Styela clava: one gene and its partner. The protein of the gene in region 2 interacts with the protein of the main gene of each other region in a biochemical or structural test. Links are inferred from orthologs where the notes say so. Each region holds a gene or a part of one and is shown on either strand. Other genes may lie near its edges. The genes, in order: polyglutamine-binding protein 1-like and uncharacterized protein LOC120328357.

Region 1 (7,079 bases), on a different chromosome or scaffold from region 2:
TTTTTGTTGTGATCTTTTAATGTTTTATTTAAGTGCATAGGGCCGCGAATCATTAAAAAAATTGAAAGGGGTCCGTCGTGGAATTTTTTTTAAAAAGTTTGGGAACCACTGGACTATTCAATCATGCGACACCAAGTGATTTTAGAATAAACTATGCCAAAGTTGTCGGGTCCAATCTCCAAAGACCTCGTTTAAATGGAATATGGAGTCATCATTAACATATTGCAAAAATTCCTTAACCAACGAAAACTTCGCACATACGCACTTTAGTGTGACATGTTGAGAAAAAAAAAATTCCCATATTCCAGAATATCAATATAACCGGTTCAATCCAACTTTTCTGAAGGCAACGGAAGTTTTGATGAAAAAGTAGGATTTTCTATTAAATCTTATCATTATCAATCAGGATTTCAATTTTTTATTTGAGCATTTTATCTAAAAACTTGTCTGGTATAAACAAATATACGAAGACTCGAAGAGTGGCACAAAAGCTTTTTGGTATTTGAAAAACAGATGAAACCAAAAACAATGTTTGAAAATTTCTGAAGGTGAAAGTTTTAAACATCAAACTTAACATATAAGACAAATGCTTTAAAATTTATAAAAATCCATCATAGTTACCGTAAGTTAAATTGTATCTATATCATTTGCAAAATATTGATTCTTCACTGTTATGTGGACTCGTTATAAACCCACCTGTAATATTCATGTGACAAGGGCACATGATAAGTGAGATGGGCTTCAATCAAACAAGCGATTCATTTGTTAGAATTCAACAATTCCTACATAGAAGCATTTCATGGAAGCACTGTATCTCATAGAAGTAGCATATATGTGTACTTGATATCTTCTTATCAGTGTCAGATTGGTAATCAAATTGCACCGCTTCCATCAACCCAAATGGAGAACTACCAGCATCAGCTACACATGCTCCTTTTGTTTCAATAATTACGCAAGTAAATCCAGTCTAGTATCATTGAGGTTTTTGAGGACCAGTCATTGATAAAGCTTGCTTATTTCTTTTAAGAACTTCACCAGGTGAAGGATATGGTCTCTGTTGAAATAAAGGACCGGATGCAGTAGAATCTACTCCACTCTTTGCATCATCTAATTTTTTAAGTCCTCTTCTCCAATCACCAACAGGAGCATCAGAATAGGAACTTGGATCCATTGGATCAATTTCATCATCAGCAGGTGCCGGTTTCTGCCATCGCACCTGATAAGTTACATAGATATTAGGGTCATACAAGGCTTGAAAAATATGAAAATTTTGACTACGCATAGTGAGAAAATTAGCCGTCGAAAACACAACTACGCTGCATGAAACTGCATTTTCCTATTTCATAGGGGTGGAGAACTTATTAAGCTGCATGAATTGAAAAATATCACAGGTACAAATTGGACAGTGAAGAAATAGTTAATTCATAGATCAAAAGTAATTAGGTTGTTTTTGGCACACAAATCTTGAATATCTTTTACTGCTATTGGCAAGTGTTGGCAGCATTTCGTAATGGGCTTTGGATAAATTTTTTTAAAGAAATACACACTGCAGATTGCAGTCTATGCAATTTTGATCATTTTCAACTTTTGAGTATGATATTTTATTGACCTTGATAACTACTCAAAAACGTGTTTATCCATTAGACCCCATACAGCCAAACTCTTAATCAGTCCAAATGGAAATTCATGACATAGGCACTTGAAACTATGATATAAGGATTTCAAATAAATATATAGGCTGAAAAGGAATAGATTTTATTACCATATTTGTATGAAATCTGAAAAAGTTTTAAATGTGGATTTATTATATCGTTTGGAGCGGGAGCCACTAAAATTTCTGATAGCCATATCTAATATGGTAAGTTTAGCTACAGTTTCAACAAAACACCACTGCTCTATGTCGAAAACTGAGGACCTCATATTCACATTATCCATGATGATTAGTGTTGAATATTGAATAGATAATGAACTAGAATCAATATTGAACTAGACGACAGATGTACCCTGTAGCAGGTTAGCATTGATGATGATATGAAAACCAATGTTTACTCCACATAACAGTGACCAATTAACCATAAAATATAAAGCAGTGTTTTGAACATGTACCTTACATTAAACCACCCAAATAAAATATTGAACATATTCAACTAGGAATAGGAAAATCATACAATCAAATTTTCATGATATGCATATATAATCACATATCAAATATCATTATTTTCCTGATTATGAATTCCAACAGGAATCAATGAAGTGTGACATCCAGTGGGCAGACATGATACATTGGTCTAGGACTAAACTGTGGTTGATTAATATCAAGGATATTACAACCAATAAAAATTCAATAGTAGTAACTGATAAAGAAGCAGAAGTAACAATTCAGATAACAATGTACTGTACATAACAGTCACAACTTACAAGCATGTTGTAGGGTACCTTGAATGATTCATATACTGGTATAAGAGTAAGAACATACACATACAGAAATACCTGTCTTGATTTAGATTTAGGTTTACTTCGCTTTGGTTCACTTTCTCTTTTTTCTTCTGTATGAGTTTTCGTACTATTTGCTGGATATGTGATCACAGCTTCAGGATCACTAGGTGGTAGCCAGCTAACCATATCACGAGATACGTCCCAATAGTACCATGTTTCGTATTCCGGGTCCCAAACTTTTTCCCAACCTTCGTGTAAGAAATTACCAAATTCATCAAGCCTTGAATCAAGTCCTTCAATTTCATCATTAGTCTTATTTGTATCGTAATCTTCTGCAATAACCTCTTCTTCTGGTTCCTCAACTTCTTTTGAAACGATTCCGCGTTTTGCAAGTTTAGCAGCTAGTGCTGCAGGGAGAGGCATGGTTTTTTGATTGTTAGAATCTCAAATGTCAATAGCTGGTGACTACTGACTAAATCTGATATTGTAATACAGTGGGGAAAAAAATTTATTTTCATAGACACACTGAATGTGACGAATTGGAGAACATTGTATAAAATTGCTTATGCAATTTTCTGATTTTACTGGTGCATCATAGATTCAATATGATGGCACCATTCAAAAGCTATTGTTAACTTCTACAAATGTGTCGATATCGCAATAGATTAAAACAAGAACAAAATGAAGTTTATGTAACGTTAATTCAAAAGATTTTCAAAAAATTTCCACGTTTTACAATTTTTGTAGGATAATCGCGAAATTTTATTTTCATTTCAAAATTATGATTAGTTTTCAAGAAGATTGTCTTTCAAACAATATAAAACTTGTCTAAATATGATAAGGTTACGGTACGGTACAGTAACTCATTACTCATGCGAGATGGGGTCTCCCTAAAACCAGGCACTCGCGAATTCAGGCACTTTTTCAGGCACCATTTCAGGCACTTTGATATTTTTTTATTTTTTCTGTACGTCATTGGGATTTCCAATTTACCTGACAAGATAATTAGACTTTAAATAATTTTTTGCATCCCTATATTGCAATAAAACAATATTATTTCCAATTTATTAGGGTATAAATAATTTTTCAATAGTAAAATGTGGCAACATTGATTACAAAATATAGAAATCAGGCACTTGTGAAATTTCAGGCACTTGGTCAAAACCTATTTTACAATGTATCTGATTACTCTAAAGCAGAAAATTAAATATATACACTTTGTATAGTTGAATTTACAACTTTTTGGTAAAATACAATACCGTTTGTGACTGATGGAGGCGTGTCATATTTCGCAAGTGCCTGATTTTTCATTTTTCTCGGTGATAGTTGCCATATTTTTTCGCAATTATTTTCTTAAATTATTTGCGTCAGCACTTACTATTCTTTGCTTTCTAACGCAAATTCATTGTTCCACAACAATTTGAGCGTTTTTAATATTGCAATGAGTAATACCATTTGACAACATATGGTCAACCATTGTACTTTCTGGATTTATTTGAAATTGAATATGAATAATAAAATCTGGCAACCTCAAGCACAAAATACTAAAACCAGGCACTTGTGAAATTTCAGGCACTTCGTAAAAACCTATTTCTCGATGTTTTTACTTACTTTGAAGCAGAAAACTAAAATATACACTCTTTTGTATGATTGAAATGACGTCTTTTTGGTAAAAAACAAGAACGATTGGGACTGGTCATGAGGGGTCAAATTTCGCAAGTGCCTGATTTTTCATTTTTTTCGATAACAGTTGCCATATATTTTCGCAACAATTTTTCTAGATTATTTGCTTCAGCACTTACTATACTTTGCTTTCTAACGCAAATTCATTGTTCCACAACAATTTGAGCGTTTTTAATATTGCAATGAGCAATACCATTTGACAACATATGGTCAACCATCGTACTTTCTGTATTTATTTGAAATTGAATATGAATGATAAAATCTGGCAACCTCAAGCACAAAATACTAAAACCAGGCACTTGTGAAATTTCAGGCACTTCGTAAAAACCTATTTCTCGGTGTTTTTATACACTTTGAAGCAGAAAACTAAAATATACACTCTTTTTTATGATTGAAATGACGTCTTTTTGGTAAAAAACAAAAACGATTGGGACTGGTGATGAGGGGTCAAATTTTGCAAGTGCCTGATTTTTCATTATTTTCGATAACAGTTGCCATATATTTTCGCAGCAATTTTTCTAAATTATTTGAGTTAGAACTTCCTAATCATTTCTTTTTGAGTAGAATTCCTAGTTCTACAACAATTTCAGCGTTTTTACAATGAGCAATATTATTTGACAACATATACATAAACATCGTACTTTTTGGATTTATTTGAAATTGAATAGGAATGATAAAATCTGGCAACAGCAAGCACAAAATACTAAAACCAGGCACTTGTGAAATTTCAGGCACTTTGTAAAAACCTATTTCTCGATGTTTATACTTACTTTGAAGCAGAAAACTAAAATATACACTCTTTTGTATGATTGAAATGACGTCTTTTTTGGTAAAAAAGAAAAACGATTGGGACTTGTGATGAGGGGTCAAATTTCGCAAGTGCCTGATTTTTCTTTTTTTTTCGATTACAGTTGCCATATATTTTGCAATATATTTCATAAAATCATTTTCGTCAGAACTTAGTACTTACTATACTTTGCTTTCTCGGTAAAATGTTTTTTAAGACAATCCGATGTATATTGAGTGCTATTCTTATCGCTAATTTCAATTCGACGTCTGCCCGAAGGTGGTGCAAGTATTTATATTTGAAGTGAGTACATACCTCTTCAAAACGCCCAGATGGAAGATTGAACAAGTCGGAGTCAACAAAAATTCAATTACATTTGGAACGTTGTCGCACTGCATCGTCGCCACTCATATACTCTGACATTCCGATGCATGGATTTTGCTTTCTGGAAAATAATAATTGGAGTGTCTGTTAAAGTGCGAAATGTATACGGGAGCACGTACAATATCAATGCTTCGTTTGCAAGCGTTGGTATCATGATACATGTGAGAAATTATCGAAAGCGAAATTGTGGAAGTGTAAAATTTGTATTCGGTAAGTCGGTGTTGCAAATGTGGGTATTTTCAGGGCGCTCCCGTAGTAGCCTATGTGCTCCAAGATGGCGCACAACCTATTACCTCTATCTCGGTACACATACTATGTTCGGGTTGTGTGCCAACTTTGTGCACATACTACGGGAGCACCATTTTCTGCACAACCTATTCTGATGCTCATTCGCGACATGAAGAAACTATACGCCCGACATATAAGAGTAGCAAACAATACACAAAACCTTTTCATGTTTAATTTCAGAACTGACATTTAAAATTTTCAATTCTTAGATCTGTGGTTTTACCTAATTGCAAGATACGTAAATCATATCATGTCAAAATAGAACAAATAGTAAGGATTTTCATTGGATACTCAATATTTCTAATAATTTTCAAACTGAAAGCTTCGATTAGTGTTCACTCATACACTTCCTTTGTGAAGTTGTGTTTTTAATGTTTTATCTCCTTAATAAATTCAAATTTATATCCCCAATTACTGATGAAGAAAGATCTATAATCGAGAGTTTAATACGGCTTCTGTGACATTAAAAACAATTACTGTTTTACGTTTTTATATATTTGTAACTTTTTGAATAACGCAAAAAAAATCGTTGACTGACTACTGGCGTGTTGAATATTGAAGGATTTTTATTGTAACATTCGTTTAACGATGCTTTTAAGCCTAACTTTGGGCATATCAGCTACCTGATGTCATTCGCCGAGCGAATTTTGTTTAGGTGACATTGCCATCTCGTATTTACCATCCTGTAGCCATTCTTCTTATTTAGGAACTACGTGTTTTACAGTTATCTGTTACAGCATGAAATAATGTACAAATAATTCTACGTAAACTATCCATGAAATTCATTCCATAAACTATCCATGAAAAGATATTACAGTCAGATCTTCAGGTTGTAAAGAATATTATACAACAGCAACGTCAAGTGATTGAATATCTTTATTGTAGCCGTGGTTGAACACCGCTGGTTGTCAATATAGATTTTGCATAGGCTTTTATACATTTTGTGAACGGTAAATTATGTTCTATTAGGGGATAATGTGACTTGGATACGTATTATAAAAAATTCTATACGACATAAGTCAATTGTTTCTGTTATGTAGTTTATATGAAGTCATAGGCCGAATTACATTATTAAAATCGTCGTCCGATAACAATTAAAACTGGAATTTCGAACTAATATTGCCAGAAGACAAATTAGGTTCTTTATAACAATGCGATTGTTGCTACCTGGGTAATATATTACGTCGAAATGTTTATAACAAATTAGAAGAAGTTTTGAACCAATTTCAAGGGTTCCGAACATTACTATAAAGATGTCGTCTGAATAACTAATATTCTTTACAGATCTGTCCAATTTAAACCCGTATTTAAATAATACATATGTAATACTTTTGAATTAATAAAAATAAACAACACAATGTCATTCAAACTTTACAATATTCAAATAGTGATTGGTTTAATTAAATACCAATTTCCGGAGTAGATACTGATGTTAAAAGTTTAATTCCATTTATGCTAAGTGGAGCTCTCATACAAACATTGACTTTTATAAAATAATGCA
Region 2 (6,442 bases):
TCTCACAGGATTCCTATCATTCTACCCGATACCCCATACCGCCAAGCAATCATGAAATGTTGTATTTTTTGCTTCGCATTTTTTGATCAGGCTAAATCTTGCAAGCTAGTATGTAGTCAACAACTGTGGAGCTGCAATTTGTTGACATCATTATATCACTGGATTGTTGATTTAAAACCTATTTATACCGATTTTCATGAGTGAGCAATTGCAAATTTTCGGCGTGCAAAATTGATTTTTTTTTTTTTATATGATTTTTATTAAATAAAAACAGTATTGCAATAAACAATATCGTTCAAAATCAAAAAACAATAAATAACAATATCATTTCACTCTATAGGACATGGATTTTTCGGATAGCAGCAAGATATAGCAGCAAACAATTTTAATAAATTCCTTAAACCTCAAATTATCTTACAGAATAAACATGAGAGAATTATTTTTTTTCTAAATCTCACACTTTGAAATATATATTAGGCTACATAAAGACTATAAACAAACTGGAACAAAAACACAGTTGTCAGGTTTAAGCTAAGTAATCAATGATAAAAAAACGCCATGAATTTTTTTTTTTTTCTTTTTTCATTGGATTTTTATTAAATAAAAACAATATTGCAATAAACAATATCGCCTGAAATCAAAAAAAAACAATAAATAACAGTATCATTTCAGATCACTCTATAGGACATGCATTTTTTGGATTTTCATAAATTATAAAACATTATATAGCAGCAAACAATATTAATAAATTCCTTAAATCATTCCACAGATAATTTTGGATTTTATACATAAAAACATAGAAATAAATAAATAGTAATATTACTCAATAACACAGACATAAGAGTATTTTTTCATAACATGAACATAACAGTTTTAATCAAATTATCTTACAGAATAAACATGAGAGAATTATTTTTTATTTTTTTTCTAAATCTCACGCTTTTAAATAGATATTAGGCTATATAAAGACTATAAACAAATTAGAACAAAAACACAGTTGTCAGGTTTAAGCTAAGTAATCAATGATTATATAAATAAACGCCATTTGTATTATGTATCATGATTTTACCATTTTTCATTGCGATATATTTCTCATTGTTTCGAATATCAGAAATGAATTTATAAAAAACATCAAAAACTGGTTTACGCTTTTGAATCCGACATCTATATATAAAGAAACGTGCAGCTAACAGCACACAGTTGATGAATTGCATATCAGAAATGTCATCGAAGCCAATAAAACATTCTTTCATTCCAAGATTAAAATCCAAGTTATCGGTCTTAAAGACAATCCATTGGTCTATGTCAGACCAAAATTCACTGGTGATTGGACAATAATAAAATAAATGCAAAAAGGTTTCAATATATAATTCACAGAATTCACAGAGGTTTGTTTCCACTAGTCCGAATCCATATAAAACATTATTCAGAACTATAGCTTTATAAAAAAATTTAATTTGAAACGCCATGAATTCGATCGCGTGCATTTTTGCAGAGCGCTAGCGCCCTCGGGCGTGCACCTGCCATGGAATCCAGTCTGGGGAAATTGACTACAAAGTCACTTTGCTCTTGGGCCTAATAGTGTTCGGTGATCTAGTTCAGGGGTGCACAACACGGGGCACGCGTGCCAAATTTGGCACGCCAAACGCTCAAACGTGGCACGCGAACGGTTTTGTAAAAAAAAATATTTATGATATACATTAAAATATCACGTTTATATCAAAATCAGCAGTTTTTCAGGACATTAAATTGTTTCAATAAATAGATATCCGTTATTATGTATTATTATTGAAATTTGTTTGTTTTGCATGAGTTAATTTACAATACCACAACTGTGCGTGGCACGTCACAAAATCATTTTGAAAAATTTGGCACGTATCCTCATTTGAGTTGTGCACCCCTGATCTAGTTGATCTTGTAAGTGCGACCTCTGTCTAGCATTATAGAAACAAGAAAAATAGCATTGTACAGTTGTCAGGACTCAGGATGTTGGAATTGACACGTCTAGTATAGTTTAGTACCACAAGTATCTTCCAGTGGGCGTAGCATAACAAATTTTGCATGATATGTTATTCCTAACCCCCGCCTGACTTCGTCATACGAAAATAACATCACTGCAAAGTGGCAGTGACATATTACTGAACTCCAAAGTATACGGATGGTCGAGGAGACAATCATCCAAAATCGAGCAAGCTATTTTTCTTGTCGAAACGATACCGATAACAGAGAGATCGCTGACGTTAGTGAGTTTATTATAGTCGGCACAAATGCCATTTCGGACGATCGTAACTATACTTCAGCAAGCTCTATGAGGCGATTGTGACGACGCAGTGATGTAATTTTTGGGTGACGTACTCAGGTCAGGGGGGGGTTAGGAATATCGTTGCTACGCCAACTAGAAGTACAGGCCTGGTATAGTTTAGTACCACATGTACTTCTAGTTGGCCTGGCTCAACAATTTTTGCATATGCCAATCCTAACCCCCACCTGACTACGTCACCGACATATGCCTGTATGCGAAAATTGTCGAGTCACACAGCCAGGCCAATTAGAAGTACGGTATGTATTTCAGGAGACCTGAATTTTACAACACACTGACATACAACAATTTTATGTTGATCATCAGTAGTAGGTGAATTTTGTGTGCTTGCAGAAATATGGTGGGAGCTGACTGCGATGAATTGTATGCTCCATTGTCATTTTTCTTGGTTATTGTTATGACTGTTTTTATTCTATATGTCCGTACAATCATTGAGTTTTGTAGATTTGGATCAGAGTTGATATTATCATAGATGATTGTACCCCAGTCTGGATTCCATGGTAGGTGCACTCCCGGGTACACTGGTGCTCCCCAAAAATACACACAAGCAAAATCCATTTTGCATGCCGTAAAATTCATGATTGCTCACAATTATATCTGACAGTCTGAAGGGTACAGTAGTGGAATGAAACAACCACCAATAGACAGTGCTGAAACGTTCTAACATTATAAACTGACTGATTACTGGATTACAGAGAACAAGCACCATTCGGCTTTCACGAACACACAAAAACCCATGTCGATTTACAACTAAACGGGTATCTCTTGAAACGTAGGCTAATTGCATTCCGTGTCTGTCTGCACCAAAATATTGACCTTTACCCTATGCAAAATATGCATGGTCGTCGTCAATTTTGCTAGACTGGACTCTGCTTCGAAGCGCCAGTTGGAATGTTCTGTTTAAGTAATCGAACACTTGTTTATTCAAGTTTTTATTTAAATGGGGCTGTTCTGTCAGTTGCACGCTGAGGATCTAGAAGGTCCCGGAAGGTTAGCACTTGTGCTCAAATGTTTGTCGTGTCGCATTCGCTGATTGCATGCTGAGATTTGTGATTGCCCGATTTATTGTAGTAAAAGACCATAAAATCAATACTGGCGTTAGATCGTATTTGGATACATTTTTAACCATAAAGAAACAAAACTGCATTGGTGGAAGTCCAAAGTTGCCATTCTTTTACTTTGAAATTTCAAACCAAGTTGAAAAATTACAATCCTTATTTTTTTATTTAGAATAGTATCACTGTACATGTACCGTCAAAGTATGTTATTCAAAAAACGGTCTTCTTGGTATTTTGCCAAATGTTCAGAGTCTAGAATTCTTGTATCTATTACAGTATTATTAGGACCAAGCAATGTAGACAACAAACTATTGATGGGACAAAATTCATTCATTCTGGGAAAGCAAAGGGTGCGATTTGACTAGTGATTGCATATTTTATTTATTCGATTTTTGTTAAGCAAGATAATACCTATAATGGGTATTCATATGAATTCAAATTTTCACTAAAAATTTCAGTCAATGATTAATTTAATTTACACTCTCTTTAATAGACTTCTTCTATGTGTGGATTTTGAAAATAATTATTTGTTGGCCTAAATACATAGATAACTTTTCAAAATGGGGAGAAGAGTAACTTCTACCACCAAGGGTGGGAAATTTATGAACCCCACTGATCAGGCCCGAAAGGAAGCGAGAAGGCGTGAGTTACGCAAAAATAAAAAACAAAGGCTGGCAGTGAGGCAAGCTGTAATAAAAACGAAAGATCCAAGACAAATGCTTGCTGAGTTGGACACTCTCGATGAAATGGAACTTAATCCATCTGAAAATCTTCCCTATAACGACAAAGTCGTGAAAGAAAAGCGAATCAAGTTGCTGGAAAATATTCAAAGAATCACACAATACTATCTTCGTGAGGATCCTGAGCAAGGAGCTGAATTAAAACTTCTTGTTGATAATTATAGAAAGGATCGTTTGAAGAAAGAAGTATATTATGAATCTGTGCGAAATGCTCAAAAAGTTACAATTGATAGTATTCCCCTTCCTGATGCTCCATTTCAAACTCCGCAACTCAGTGACATACCATTACCTGGAATCCAGCCACAAGGAATTTTGAAAAAGAATCCTACTTCTGTAGGATTTTTTTCTAAGACTGAAAGAAAAAAAGATCCACCAGGACCACCCCCGGGTCCTCCACCACTGAAAAAAAGATTCAAAGGTAATGCTCGTTTTCTTTATCCAAGGCCACCACCTGGAACTCCTTCGATAGAAAAGTCAATTGATAATGATAAAGATGCCTATGATCCAGAGGAAGGTCCAATATTGGGTGATGGTGGCAGTGACAGCGATGAAGAAAAAATTGCTGCTGATCATGAGGATGCAGAAAAATCTGATGATGAATTTTATCACCGCGACGATGATCTGGATGATTCTACCTCCGGAGGAAGAAAAAGAGTGCAGTCACGTGATGGAACATCAGACAATGAAGATGGCAGAGATGCGTCAAAACATGCAAGACTAGAAGACGCTTCTGGTATTACTCCACTTCAAGCTATGATGCTAAAATTGGCTGGTCAAAGTGTGCCAACAAAGGACTCAAATGAAAAAGTTGATTCGGCTGATAGTGATATACCGAGCAAAGATGTGAAAAATACAAGATTCTCTGAACCTCAACAAAAACCACCTCCTGGCCCTCCACCTGGTTTGCCTCCTGGACCTCCCAGATTACCACCAGATGTTGCTACAGGCAGAATACAGGGAAGAATGTTACCACCTGGCCCACCACCAGGCCATCCACCAACACTGCCACCTGGCCCACCACCAGGTTTGCCACCAACAATGCCAATCCGCATGGGCATGATGCCTTCAATTCGTCAGCAAATACCAGAAAGATTTAATAGAAGTATACAAGCTGAAAATCCAATCAATAACGCTAATGTTTTGAGTGCACCTCCAAGTTTGATTCAGCATCGACAAGATAAGGAAAAAGAAGGAATGCCTGCTATGATTGTTGCTAAACCAAAGATCATCAACAACCCCAAGGCAGATGTCACAAGATTTATGCCAACGTCTATTCGTGTAAAAAGACAAACTACAACGAAAATTGGACCAAACAGGCCTACCAATGTTTCTGCTCCATCATCTTCTGACAGAAATAGACAAGAGAAAAACAAAAAAGGAAAGTTGAATGCTGATGTTGCATATGACTCTTTTATGAAAGAAATGCAGGGTTTCCTTTAGATTATTCACCTATTTTTAACTGCACTGCATGGTATTTATTCTCTTTCCATCTGATAGCTACCTGCACTCCAGTGTGATTGGCTGATCGAGTGATCACAAATCAATTTTTCTGGATGTGTGGTCTTCTGAATTTTTATATGTTTTAATATGTATCATATTTAGGGTCACTGTTTAATAAACCGATATGTCAAAATTAGTTTGTCCCTTGTATTAATTTGTGGTGCTGGAGGCCACTGAAAAACATGGTCAGTCCCGCAGTTGGCCATTCCTGCTGTCGTTAAACTTTGTTTCGGTTGAAAGTTCCTCCTCGTTTTTGATGATTGAAATTTTGAAATCTTGTGTTCTTTGTGCACGAGGATAAATGAGGAATGAATCTTCAAATACACATAAAACAGTCACAATTCGCGTAACACAGAATTCCCCTTTTTCTTTTTCATCAGGATGACAGGCAGTTAAGCCCTGGTTTTCTGTAAACAAAATATTTATGCAGTACAATAAGCTCTAAGCATTACAAATGCTCTAAACTTGTACGGTGCACACATGAATATGTTTCTGATTCGCCAGCATTGGTAGAAGGTGTTATATCACTGAGGTGATTCTGGTTTATTTGCAAAGCAGCCGCGATAGATGAGAAGTTCATAACAGTTCAATTGTTCGGACGCTCAAAAGAATTTTCTGGGTCATCTCCTCTGTGCTGGTTTGGTAGGAAAGCATTTTTGCGCCGCAGGGGAAGTGAACCCACCGGCGATAACTCGCTATGATTGGATTACGTGTGCGAGTTCCTGTCTGTCATGCTAAACTATTTATGCCTGGTAAAGGGTTTCAGTAGTGGTAAACTCGGCCTTCTTTCTGGTTTTATCATGGTACGGTTCCATTACATTTGA

What was found.
Region 1: the proteins of uncharacterized protein LOC120328357 (region 2) and polyglutamine-binding protein 1-like form a complex in vitro, tested with the Homo sapiens proteins (2 studies listed by BioGRID and IntAct, with this or other methods). The link is inferred for Styela clava from reciprocal best matches to the Homo sapiens genes WBP11 and PQBP1.

The regions. Positions count from the first base shown.
Region 1 is NC_135260.1:11,813,418-11,820,496, forward strand, and holds the start of polyglutamine-binding protein 1-like, read right to left. Parts: upstream 3,071-7,079; 5' UTR 2,860-3,070; coding exon 2,491-2,859; intron 1,217-2,490; coding exon 974-1,216; 3' UTR 1-973. UniProt on the Homo sapiens protein: Intrinsically disordered protein that acts as a scaffold, and which is involved in different processes, such as pre-mRNA splicing, transcription regulation, innate immunity and neuron development.
Region 2 is NC_135256.1:13,376,671-13,383,112, forward strand, and holds uncharacterized protein LOC120328357, read left to right. Parts: upstream 1-3,848; 5' UTR 3,849-3,938; coding exon 3,939-5,558; 3' UTR 5,559-5,754; downstream 5,755-6,442. UniProt on the Homo sapiens protein: Activates pre-mRNA splicing. May inhibit PP1 phosphatase activity.